Daphnia pulex: one gene and its partner. The protein of the gene in region 2 binds, or shares a complex with, the protein of the main gene of each other region. Links are inferred from orthologs where the notes say so. Each region holds a gene or a part of one and is shown on either strand. Other genes may lie near its edges.

Region 1 (5,263 bases), about 3.9 Mb from region 2:
TTTTTATTTATTAGTGAGATTCAAATATATTTGATTGTTATAAATACATTTTATTTGAATTTCCAAATAATTCAAATCTAAACCATTCAAATTTCAAAACACAGAAACAGAATGCCATCGGTCGCCAAATGAAAGTACTACATATTTCCTTTCCGGAGTGCAATAGCCACTTTTGACGCTAGAGGACTCCGGACTCCGGAGTGCAATAGCCACTTTTGACACTAGAGCGCTCCGGACTCCGGAGTGCAATAGATTTTACCATTACCATGTCTGACAAAACTGATCGAAATGAAAACTTCGCCTTCTTCTTCACACCACTTCACACCCAACTTCGTGTCATAATGTGAGACAACGTTGCCGCACGCACCAGAAAAAAATGTAGTAGTAAAAATAATATTTTTGTTTTTCCAATTTTCCAATCCATTCCAGTTTCCAACATTCTATAAATCCGTCATTTCCTTCAGACTTCAATTCCATTTCCCACTATAACCCATAAATTCCGAAATGCTAACTAATTCAAGCCATGGAAAATTTAAGTACTTCCAGTCTTTCATTACTCTGCTGTCAAAATGATCGAACTCCATGTTTCGATTACAGTACCCTCGGGCACTATAAGAAAGAGTATATCTCTGTTAAGAGTTTAAGACTAACATTATAGAAAAATTTGCAGACTTATTGATCAACGAATGTTAACGGTAAATTTTTCCCAAACAGAAACATGTACAATATATTCCTTTTTACTTCTCGTTCAACTTCAGTTGCGACGAGGCAATCAAAATGTATTTTTGATAATCTAAAGGGTACATGATAGTTGAAACCAAAGAGAGACGCAAACAGCCATAACCAATCGATGAGACACACAATTATATTTGTCTTCATTTTCTGATGTTGGATTTGTCGGATATTAATATCTGACAAAAACCTCGAGATGTGCTGCCTTTCACTGAATAAGCAGCACGCCTCAAGATGTGGTGATTGTTTACAGTCTTGGCAATTACTCGTCGATGAATGTCGTCTCCTCTTTAATGAAAAACTCGACTGTCTCCTCTTCTAATTCCCCTCCACGGCCTTCAGTTTCATCCGTATCCACGTCTGTGAATTCATTTGTGAGTTAAATCCTGATAAGCTTACTTATTAACTAGGTTTAAGAACTTACTGTTGCGCAATTCGATACGACGGCGACGTTGAGCGTCATAGTCCTCTTGCTTCTGCTTACGCAAGTCTTCATATTCTTGCATCAGTTTGCGGCGTTTTTCTACCAATTCCTGGGTGAAGTTTGAAAATGTCAGATTTTTAGAAAATACTTTCGCCAAAAATTACACATTCAAAAAATATTTACTTTGGAAGCTTTAGTCATTTTCAATCGATCCTTCACTTCGAATTGGGCACTAAATTTCTTCAAAGACTTCTTAATGTCCTTTATTTGTTGGGCTGGAAGTAATGAAGGTGGTCGAGGTCTCCATTGCAGCTGACAGAATTTGTCTAGTGCTACGCGTTTGAGAATGCGTCCTTGGAAGGACCACAACCAGTAGGCATTATCGACCTGTCAAAGTACAAGAGATCAAACATTGTCAAAAATGAATACATTGCTTGATTTTTGTTACCTTGTGACCCCACCAGGAAACAGCAGTTGCGACATACCGACCGGTTGGATCCCACTCCACATCAGTAGCCATGAAGTGTTCGCCCGTATTCATGACGGTAAAATCATGGGTGTCGACAAATTCCAATGTGCCAGACATGGCACGTAGGCCGGCTAACACAATGAACTGGCCTGTTCGATAAAGTATAGTAAGGATTTTAGAATTTTAACATTAAATTTAATGTTTTCTTACCAGAAGGGGCCCAGTACAACTGGTTGCAAGGTTTACGTTCGTATTTTTTAACCATCGTAGGCGTTTGTCCAGTTTTAACTTCGAAGAAAGAAACAGAAGTACTCGGTGGCTCACCGTGGATGACGGCAAACTTAGTACCAACTGGCTCCCACGCAAAAGCTTGAATGGTTTCCTTGATTTCTACCGAGTCGACTGGAATTTGTTTTTCTCGCATGTGGAAAACTTCCAAATTGTAGTAGATACCGCTATCAAAGGGGGGAAAATTAGCTTTTATATCTATTAATTGAAGGAGTGGCATCTCATTACCTGTATTTGATATCGGACTTATCTTTCCTTAATTTGGCATAGCGGTCGACTTTCACACACAAATAGTCACCTGATTTTTGCCAATACATTTTACAGTCGGCAACGCTAAACAAATTTTTGACTCGCACTTCATTGCGACTTGGCAACTCAAGAAGTGTGACGCGAGCAGGAGTATCTTTCTCCTCTCCGACCCAATAAGCAATCGTATTGTCTGTTGGGCTCCAGGCAAAATCTCGAATTCCTTGAACCTATCAAAATGTAAGAGTGCATGTTAGGAAATGGTTATTAGAAGATTTTGTAAATCGTGTACGTTACTTTGATCGACTTCTTGTCTAAAAGGCCAAATGATGGGGTTTCATAAACAGAAAGCATGTCGATTCCCATCCTAGCGAAATACTTGTCATCATGCGACCACTTAAAAATGGGCAGGGCTTGAGATTTATCGGCATTAAAAGCTCGTCGCTTAAGACCGCTCAACACGTCCCAAATGATGATGGCTTGTGGTTCATCAGTTGCTCTTGAATCAGCCAGTGGACTAAAAGATACTAAATACTTCTCACATGGTGAGAAGTCAATGAATTGCACTCCTGGATGACTGAAGCGCACAATTTGTTGAAACTTTTCACCACCCCAAAGAGCTATACCCTTTGCATGGAAAGTGGCTAGATAGGTGCCAAGAGGTGACCACCGCACTAGAGTCTCAGTCCATCTCTGTGAAGATAATTATTGGTCAGATAAAATTTTAATATGAAAAAAAAAAATAATAATAATAATAAAGGTGAAGTGACTCACAGGTCTTTCTTCCAGCAGAGAGGGTTCAGGTTGAGTGTTCAAATAAACAGCAACTTTGTCTCCCTGCTCATACACAACTGAGAATTGGTCACAAGCGTCTTGATCAAGAAGATAGTATTGAAGGCATCCTTGCTCCTTAAACGGCTGAGGAATTGGATTTTCCCACTTATCAAGAATGTCATTATATTTTTCGAAGTCAGTAAGTAAGTTCACAGTGAAGGTGTGATTTTTGTCGAACTTGTAACCATTAGTTCCTTTAAGAACTTCCAATGCTTCATTGGCATTTGAGTACTCTATGAAAACATGGCTTCAAAAGTATATTATGTTAAAATTGGGCTGACACAAAAGTTAAAAAAAAAACTAATAAATTACCCTTTAGTTGATCCATCAGCATTAAGAGGATAATATTCATTAGTTATTTTTCCAAACTTTTGGAATAGTTTTCTCAGGACATTTTGAAGTTTTTCTATCCTCTCAGTACCAACCTGAGGAACACCGTCAATAACAACAATTGATTCGACTCCGTCGGTTTCTTTCGGACGCTGCCTGATGAGGTCACCTATAAGATCTACATTGACAGTTAGCAAGATTCAATGCCGGCATGCTCAGGAAAGCCATATGGCAAAAGGTAAGTTACAAACGGTACCTTCTTCAGAAATATCGTCCTCATAACCTTCCGGATCATCGAAGTTGGGCTCGTCTTCTAATTCATCGTTTGGGTTAGAATCCGAGTCATCGTTATTTTGCTGAGCTCGATCATTTTCTTTTCGTCGAGCCATGATGAAAAACAAGCACTGCACACCGGACACGAGTCTTTAATGGCGGAAGCCTGTGCCAGATTTCAACAAATAATACTACCATCGAGAAGGCCAAGGCAACCACCATCCACCAATCAGGCAATCACCATTCACCAAACACCATAGGTAACTTGGTGACTAGCCTAGCCTGTCAGCTAGAACGGGATCTTCTGAAGGGAAAATAATTTAGATTTTTTATTATTATTATTTTTTCTTGATTTTTATTCGCATTATAATCATACATTGGATTTTTTTTTGTTTTCAGAAAATAGCCTACATTTATTCATTTCCAAAAAAGTTGAATCCTTATACCCATTTGAGGAATGAGTTGGTAATAATTTTTTTAAATATTTTTAAAGTAACGTAATGATATTTTAAAACCATGATAGCGAATATTTTACAAATATGTATTACGCCTAACTATCAGTCATGGCAAATATGCCTACGCAAAAGCACAATTCTAGCAGCCGAATCATCATAACCCGGGAGGGATGAAAACATCACTTAGGCCTATAACCTACGTGAGTTAACGTTGATCGCAAAATTTTGAAGAACCACTACAATTGAAAACTTGTCTTAACATTTAAATATGTATGATTAAAGTTTTAAAGTCGTAAAAATTGCGAATAATCGAGAAGAAGTTGGCCTTTTAAAAGTGTCCGGTTGTCGGTAACATCGAGGAATATAAAATGGACAGCGTATTGGAAGGTTATCTATTTCAGATGCATTCTGGAACGTGCAGCGATATGCTGGAGCAAATCAAGGATATTAAAGATGTTGTATCCAAAACCAAAGACAGTAGGTTTCAAATATTGGTCCCATCAAAAACATGTTAATCAATTCATTTACATTGTATTTTTTCTAAAGATTCTGTTGTCTCGGCTTTACTAAACAAAGAAATTGGATTAATTTCCTTGTTGTCCAAGTTCAGAGATTCTCAAAAGGATGACAACTTTGCAGAAATAATAAATTGTGCCCTGTCAATTTTGGGTGATTTACTGGAAAAATTTGGAGAATCCATGAGCAACCATTTAGTGGTTATTAAAGTATGGAAAATAATTAATATTACCTAGCTATGTGTAAAAACCTAATAGTATAACTTTCATTTACCTTAAGAATTTAGCATTGATGTACATGAACTCCAAAAATTCTAAGATACGAGGAGCTTGTTATTTTGTTCTTTGCCAAGTTGTTATTACTGCTCAAACTTCACCAACAGAAATATTAGAAGAACTGAATTTGCCAGCCCTTTCTAATATGCTTTTTGAAAAAATGGCTACATCTTCTGATGATAGTTCAAGCAAAGGTGATTAATTAAAAAGACTATTGTATAATTACCCTGTTTGTTATGCAGATTGTATTATTACTGTGTATGCATAGATATGTATTTCTATGGTTATTTATAATATTTATGTTTTACTTTAGCGAAAATGAATTTCCTAGTACTCCTAGGCAGACTGGCCCAGTACTTTCCTAGTACACTGAAGGAAAAGGCCAGTCGCATCATTAACCAACTCCTTTATGAACTTGAAA
Region 2 (6,007 bases):
ACTGTTTGTGTTTAAATATTTAAGCAAATTTACAAATAACTAATAATTTTTTTAACTATAATCGGCATGACTTTTACTGTTTGAATTCTGAAAGTATTGATTGAAGAATTGGTCGATTTAACGATTTCTGATCGAACTTATTGAGAGCAAGAGAATTCAAATCATGTACATTTAGCAATGAAGAGAGATTATCTTTAATCCATTATTATTCAATTACATTGTGTATACTTAAGATTTTATAGGAATGTTACTAGTGAATAATATTAGCTGTGCCATACAGAATGCCAAATTTTATCATGCAATGATTCGAATTCAGTTCAGACACAAATGTCTACGTTAATATAGCCGAATTAATAAGAGGCGAAGCATTATTTTGGTTTGGGGCAGCGGGCATCTTAAACACGATAGCATTTTGCAAACGCGACAAAAAAAGAGTAAAAGAATCAGAAATAGAGGATGCTAAGAACAAAAGTTCCCCAGACAAACACCCTAACAAGCTAAAGACAAATCAATTCTCCAAGTATGGCATTCTATTCAAGATCAAACATTGGAACTAGTGGAATGCGAATGTGACGCTAACCATAAAAAACGAATTAAAACGAAAATAGCTAATATTTTAAGAAAATGATGAAAAAAATTTACCAAATTTTCATTAACACTATATTGCACAGAATTGGGTACAATGTTGTAATTACAGAATTCATCTTCCAGTTATTGCAAAGAGAATTATTTCATTTGTGTTATTGTTACTTTCATTAATTATCTTTTAGATTTACTGACCTGTCTGAACTTTCTGAACTGTCGTATCTATCTGAGCGCCGACGTTTCTTTTCATCATTGACGAGAGCCGATGTTATGAGTGACCGACGTTGTTGACCATCAAAATGTTCGTTAACAGACATTTCTCGAGTTTCACCACCACTAGTCAGTCGGATTGCTTCATACGCCCGTGAATTGCTTCTAGCCTCATCGGCCATCTTACTCTTTTTCTTCTTGTCAGAATCCGCTGTTTTCTTTGTTGTAGAGGCCGCTTGGTTGTCTAACGGCACGTTGCCCGTTGCCACACCATCCATTATTCGACTGGGTGACGATGGATGCAAGCTGCCACAAGCAGGGGTTTTCACGTTAGTAGTAGAAGAACTATCGTTTACATCGTTGTCTTTAACTTTGGATTGATACGAAAGAGTCACAATCTTTGCTGATTCCAACGCTGAATCTGCCATCTTGAATGACGCTAGGAAAAATCCTCTACCACGACTACACAAACCAGTCCCTATTTGACACTTCAGACTACACACACACACACACACACGCGATTTAAGGGTACCTCGACTATCCACAATGCCCACCCCACACAGAGAAAAAACTCCCAGCGTAGAGCACTCTAGCGGTCGAAAAGCGAATATTTTTAATATCTCGTTTCGTTCCTAACTTTAAATTGATTTAGTGTAAAGAGGAATAAGAAAAAAAACTTTGTGTGTCCATAAATTTTGCATTTTTTTATTAAGTAACAAAAATAACAAAATACTATATTGCTGTGTTTGAGTTTCCTGCAACTTCAAGCGACTTCAAGGCATCTGAGAAACAGGACTCCTGGTGTTATGTTGATAATTCCTCATAGAGGGCCTTGCTATCTTCCGGCGCTACTGTCGGAAAAGTTTTCAAGTATTTCCAATTGTTGATGAATTGCCTAAATATTGAAAGATTGCAATCATTATGTAAATAGAAAAGAATCATACAGAATTACAGATCTTATAAAAACAAACTGACCGTTGAATGCGTCCAGACCTGTTCTGTATCTGTAATCTGTATCCATTGTTTTTCAATTGGTCTACTATATTTTGATGGCCTTAAAGTTCTCAGTACACACCAGGGTTGCACGCATCTATTTTTTTACACTCGACCAAGTATTTTACATGTCTGGAATAATGGGACATTTTGCCAGAACCTGCCAGAACAAACCTGGTAAATTTGTTAACAAGAAAAACAAACAACCTAAGAAAAAACGCACAAGTTTTTTTCCTGTTTGGGGATGAAAATTAATGAAGATTAGAAAGAGAGCCCGACCATCTTTAATGTGAAAACATCCAAATATAAAACAAAAGGGTATTCTAAGGTGCAACATCATGGGTAGTGGTGGGCATCGACATTCGCAATTCGTAACAAGAAGCAAATATGTTACTAATTGCTGCTAATTGTGGAAAAAGTTGTTGAGAATTGTAAAATGGCAACGCAGAATAACCTAGGGACGATTTCTATCAAACACATTGCAGGGCCATGCGCTTTGTGGCCCGTAGCTGAAGTCAGCTTGAATAGTTAACCAGTTAACCAAACCCAACCACAGTTGTCTAAAAACTTGGACGGCCATTTTCTTGCCCCAGCCACGTTGCTTGAGCAATTGCCAGCGAAGAGAAGCGTTCTGATTGCTGATCGACGTGTTATGAGAATATAAAAATGTCGCGTTTCTATCAACGACCTGAAAATGCACTCAAAAGAGCAAATGGTCTGTATTTTGTTATTCACGAGTACTTTACTAATTACTACTCAAGTTGATTTCTTAAATGTTGTGTTCACCGGTTTATATCGCTCGCTTATTGACAAAATGCTGTTACTTCTGTTACAGAGTTCATTGAAGTGGGGAAACCTATTCGAGCCTTGGATGCCCTAGCTGAAGTTATTAAGAGCAAGAAATATCGGTCAACAACTTATTCAGAAAAAGTGCTAGAACCCATAATGATCAAATACTTGGAACTTTGTGTGGATTTGAAAAAGGCGTACATGGCTAAGGAAGGCTTGTTCCAATACCGTAACATGTGTCAATCTGTAAGGATTAACTTGTTTCATGTTTTCCTTCTAACAAACTCATGATGATTGTTGTTTATTTACAGGTAAATGTTGCATCATTAGAAAATGTTGTACGATTCTACCTTAATTTAGCTGAGGAAAAAACAGAAGCAGCACGTCAAGAATCCCATCAAGCTGTTGTGGATATTGATGATCTGGACAATGTTGCTACTCCTGAAAGTATACTTCTGAGGTAGTCAATTCATTGCATTTTTTTCTGGTTGATTATGTTATCATGATTTCTTTGTGCTCAGTGCTGTCAGTGGAGAAGATGCCCAAGACAGGTCTGACCGTGTGATTTTGACTCCATGGGTCAAATTTCTTTGGGAGTCATACAGACAGTGTTTAGAGTTGCTTCGAACTAATTCAAGGGTTGAGAAACTGTACCATGATACTGCTCAACATGCCTTCAAGTTTTGTCTGAAGTATGCTCGGAAAACCGAGTTTCGTAAGCTCTGCGAGAATCTAAGGTCTCATCTTGCTTTGATGGTAAGAAAATTATTTTTTAAATTATTATTTGTTTAGAAATGTGTTAAAAGACAATATTTATATCATAGGTGAAAGGAACCCCATCTGTAACTGCTGTTAATTTGAGTAATCCTGAGACTCAACAAATGAATTTGGAAACCAGACTCTTGCAACTTGATTTCGCCATTCAAATGGAGTTGTGGCAAGAAGCATATAAAGCCATTGAAGACATTCACGGATTAATGATATTGGCTAAGAAAATGCCCCGTCCTCAACAAATGGCTCAATACTATCAGAAAATTGCCCTCGTTTTCGGAAAGTCTGGAAATCATTTGTTCCACGCTGCAGCTCTGTTTCGGCTTTTCCAACTGTCACGGGACTTGAAAAAAAATATTACGACTGAAGAACTTCAAAAACTTGGATCGCGCGTACTTGTTGCAACTTTAGCAGTACCATTACCCTCTGCACACCCTGAATTTGATCGTTTCATTGAAACCGAGAAAAGTGCTATGGAAAAAACGCAAAAACTAGCTACTCTTCTTCATTTGAATCAGCCTCCTACACGTAATGGATTGATTAAAGATTTGGTTCGCCTTGGTGTGGTAGCTACTGCAATGCCTCAGTTGCAGCAGTTGTATCATTTCTTGGAGGTAGAGTTCGACCCATTACATTTATGTAACAAAGTCAAGAACATTCTAGCGTTTATGGCCGAAGTCGAAGAGACATCTTATTTGAACCAATATATTCATGCCTTGGAAGAAATCACGCTTACCAGATTGGTAAAGCAAATAGCCCAGCTCTACTCGACTATCCGATTCGAACGTTTGGTGCAATTGGCTCCCTTTGCATCTCCATTTGACTTGGAACGCATTGTTGTTAATGCAGTCCGTCATACCGATATGCAAATAAGGATTGATCACCGTAACAATTGTCTTCACTTCGGCACTGAATTATTTGAAGCTCAACGCGAAGATTTACCAGAAGGACCGACTCTACAGGTAGAAATGTTAAAAAGTCATGACCAATGAAATGTTAGCTTTATCTTTTTTTTGTGTTTTTTTTAATTCTTTCTGATTTTATAACTTTTCTAGGCTATGCCTTCTGAACAGATACGTACGCATTTGATTACAATGTACTGCGTTCTCAACAAAGCGACAATTGCTGTTGTTGGTAATGCTCCTACTAAAGAAGAAAGACAGTTGAAAGTCCAGATCGCTGCACTTTATCATCAAAATAAAGTAATTATAACTCCATTCGTTACGTTGTTAGCAATTTGTTTAATGTGATTATTTTAGGCTAGAGACCACCACCAACTTCTTAGCCGTCAAAAGATTATTGAAGATCGCAAGGAATACCTTGAAAAATTGAATACTGAACGTGAAGAAGAAGAAGGTCGTCGTCAGGAGGAGCTGATAAGGCAGCAGTTGCTAGCAGAACAACGCCGTCTTGAAGCTGAGCGACAAGAACGAGAGAGGCTTCGTCAAGAAGCAGAACTTCGCCAAGTTCAAGCAAGGCATCTCAAAGAGAAGGTTGCTCAGTTTAGCCAAACAGCAATTGGGCAAAAAGTAATTCAACTTGCTTACCACCTGCTATGTGACGACATATTTTCATTTCATTATCTTTTTTGTAGGTTATTAAAAAAATGGAAGATGAAGATATATCAAAATTAGATCCAGACTTGATAATGGCGCGCCAATTGGAAGAATTGGAAAAAGAAAGAAAGGAATTACAAGTATGACATCTATTAATTAACCGTATTCGACACTTAAATGTTTATTGGTGGGTCTTCTGCAGACTAAGTTGAGGAGCCAGGAAAAAAAAATTGATCACTTGGAACGCGCCAAACGTATTGAAGAGATTCCTCTTTTGGAGAAATATCTAGCTGAACGTAAGGTCCAAGATAAATTGTTATGGAAACAGCAAGAAGAAGAAAGAATTGCCCAACTTCAAGAAGAACGCAAAGTGGCAATGTTACATCGTGACCGTTTGATGCGTATGCGAGTCGACAAAGAAAAGTTTATAGATAACTTGAAATCGGCTCGTAGAAGCGTTTTTAAAGAGAAATTGGCTGAATTTGAAACCATGTATGATACGGTGAGATCTGACCGTTTAAAACAACGCCGAGAACAGAGACGGGAACAGCGGCGCATTCAATGGATTAAAGGTTTGCATCTTTAAATTCGTTTCTTATAAAACAAAACTAAATCACATTGATAAATTAACAAACAAATCATTGCGGTATTAGAAAAAGAAGAAGCGGAACAAAGAAAGCGTGATGAAGAATTGAAAAGACAGAGAGAAGAAGCTGAGCGCATTGAACAAGAACGCCGCCAGGCAGAACTTGATGAACTTCGTAAACGACGTGAAGCTGCTGATCAAGTTTTGTTGAAGCAACGCGAACGCGAACGTGAAATAGAGGAAAAGCAAAAGCGGCGAGAAGAAGAGGAACGTGAACGGGAGCGTGAAGTCCGTGATAAAGAAAGAGAGGTAGATATTGCTGTGCACAAGTCCTGGTTTTTCCAATTTCCAGTTGGTAGCTTAGTATATTTTGATATATTTTTAACATTTCAGCATTAATATGCTAAAGTAAGAAATTCATATCTTTTTCTGTCTGACGAATTATGTTGAACAGCCTCGACAATTTTTATGTTAAAACTTGAATTGTAGGAATTTTCTTTGTTGTTTAGCATTTTTG

What was found.
Region 1: eukaryotic translation initiation factor 3 subunit A-like (region 2) and eukaryotic translation initiation factor 3 subunit B-like share a complex: the UniProt entries of both Drosophila melanogaster proteins name them as parts of the eukaryotic translation initiation factor 3 (eIF-3) complex. The link is inferred for Daphnia pulex from reciprocal best matches to the Drosophila melanogaster genes eIF3a and eIF3b.

What each region holds. Positions count from the first base shown.
Region 1 is NC_060026.1:9,962,259-9,967,521, forward strand, and holds eukaryotic translation initiation factor 3 subunit B-like, read right to left. Parts: upstream 3,838-5,263; 5' UTR 3,713-3,837; coding exon 3,580-3,712; intron 3,502-3,579; coding exon 3,306-3,501; intron 3,241-3,305; coding exon 2,934-3,240; intron 2,853-2,933; coding exon 2,457-2,852; intron 2,390-2,456; coding exon 2,142-2,389; intron 2,081-2,141; coding exon 1,836-2,080; intron 1,775-1,835; coding exon 1,605-1,774; intron 1,544-1,604; coding exon 1,340-1,543; intron 1,266-1,339; coding exon 1,157-1,265; intron 1,093-1,156; coding exon 995-1,092; 3' UTR 731-994; downstream 1-730. Other genes in the region: DNA-dependent protein kinase catalytic subunit-like, read left to right, coding at 4,420-4,528, 4,598-4,776, 4,847-5,036, 5,156-5,263. UniProt on the Drosophila melanogaster protein: RNA-binding component of the eukaryotic translation initiation factor 3 (eIF-3) complex, which is involved in protein synthesis of a specialized repertoire of mRNAs and, together with other initiation factors, stimulates binding of mRNA and methionyl-tRNAi to the 40S ribosome.
Region 2 is NC_060026.1:6,108,261-6,114,267, forward strand, and holds the start of eukaryotic translation initiation factor 3 subunit A-like, read left to right. Parts: upstream 1-2,012; 5' UTR 2,013-2,454; coding exon 2,455-2,503; intron 2,504-2,623; coding exon 2,624-2,823; intron 2,824-2,888; coding exon 2,889-3,037; intron 3,038-3,098; coding exon 3,099-3,333; intron 3,334-3,401; coding exon 3,402-4,310; intron 4,311-4,403; coding exon 4,404-4,550; intron 4,551-4,607; coding exon 4,608-4,877; intron 4,878-4,942; coding exon 4,943-5,044; intron 5,045-5,106; coding exon 5,107-5,476; intron 5,477-5,557; coding exon 5,558-5,799; intron 5,800-6,007. Other genes in the region: zinc finger protein jing-like, read right to left, coding at 781-1,223. UniProt on the Drosophila melanogaster protein: RNA-binding component of the eukaryotic translation initiation factor 3 (eIF-3) complex, which is involved in protein synthesis of a specialized repertoire of mRNAs and, together with other initiation factors, stimulates binding of mRNA and methionyl-tRNAi to the 40S ribosome.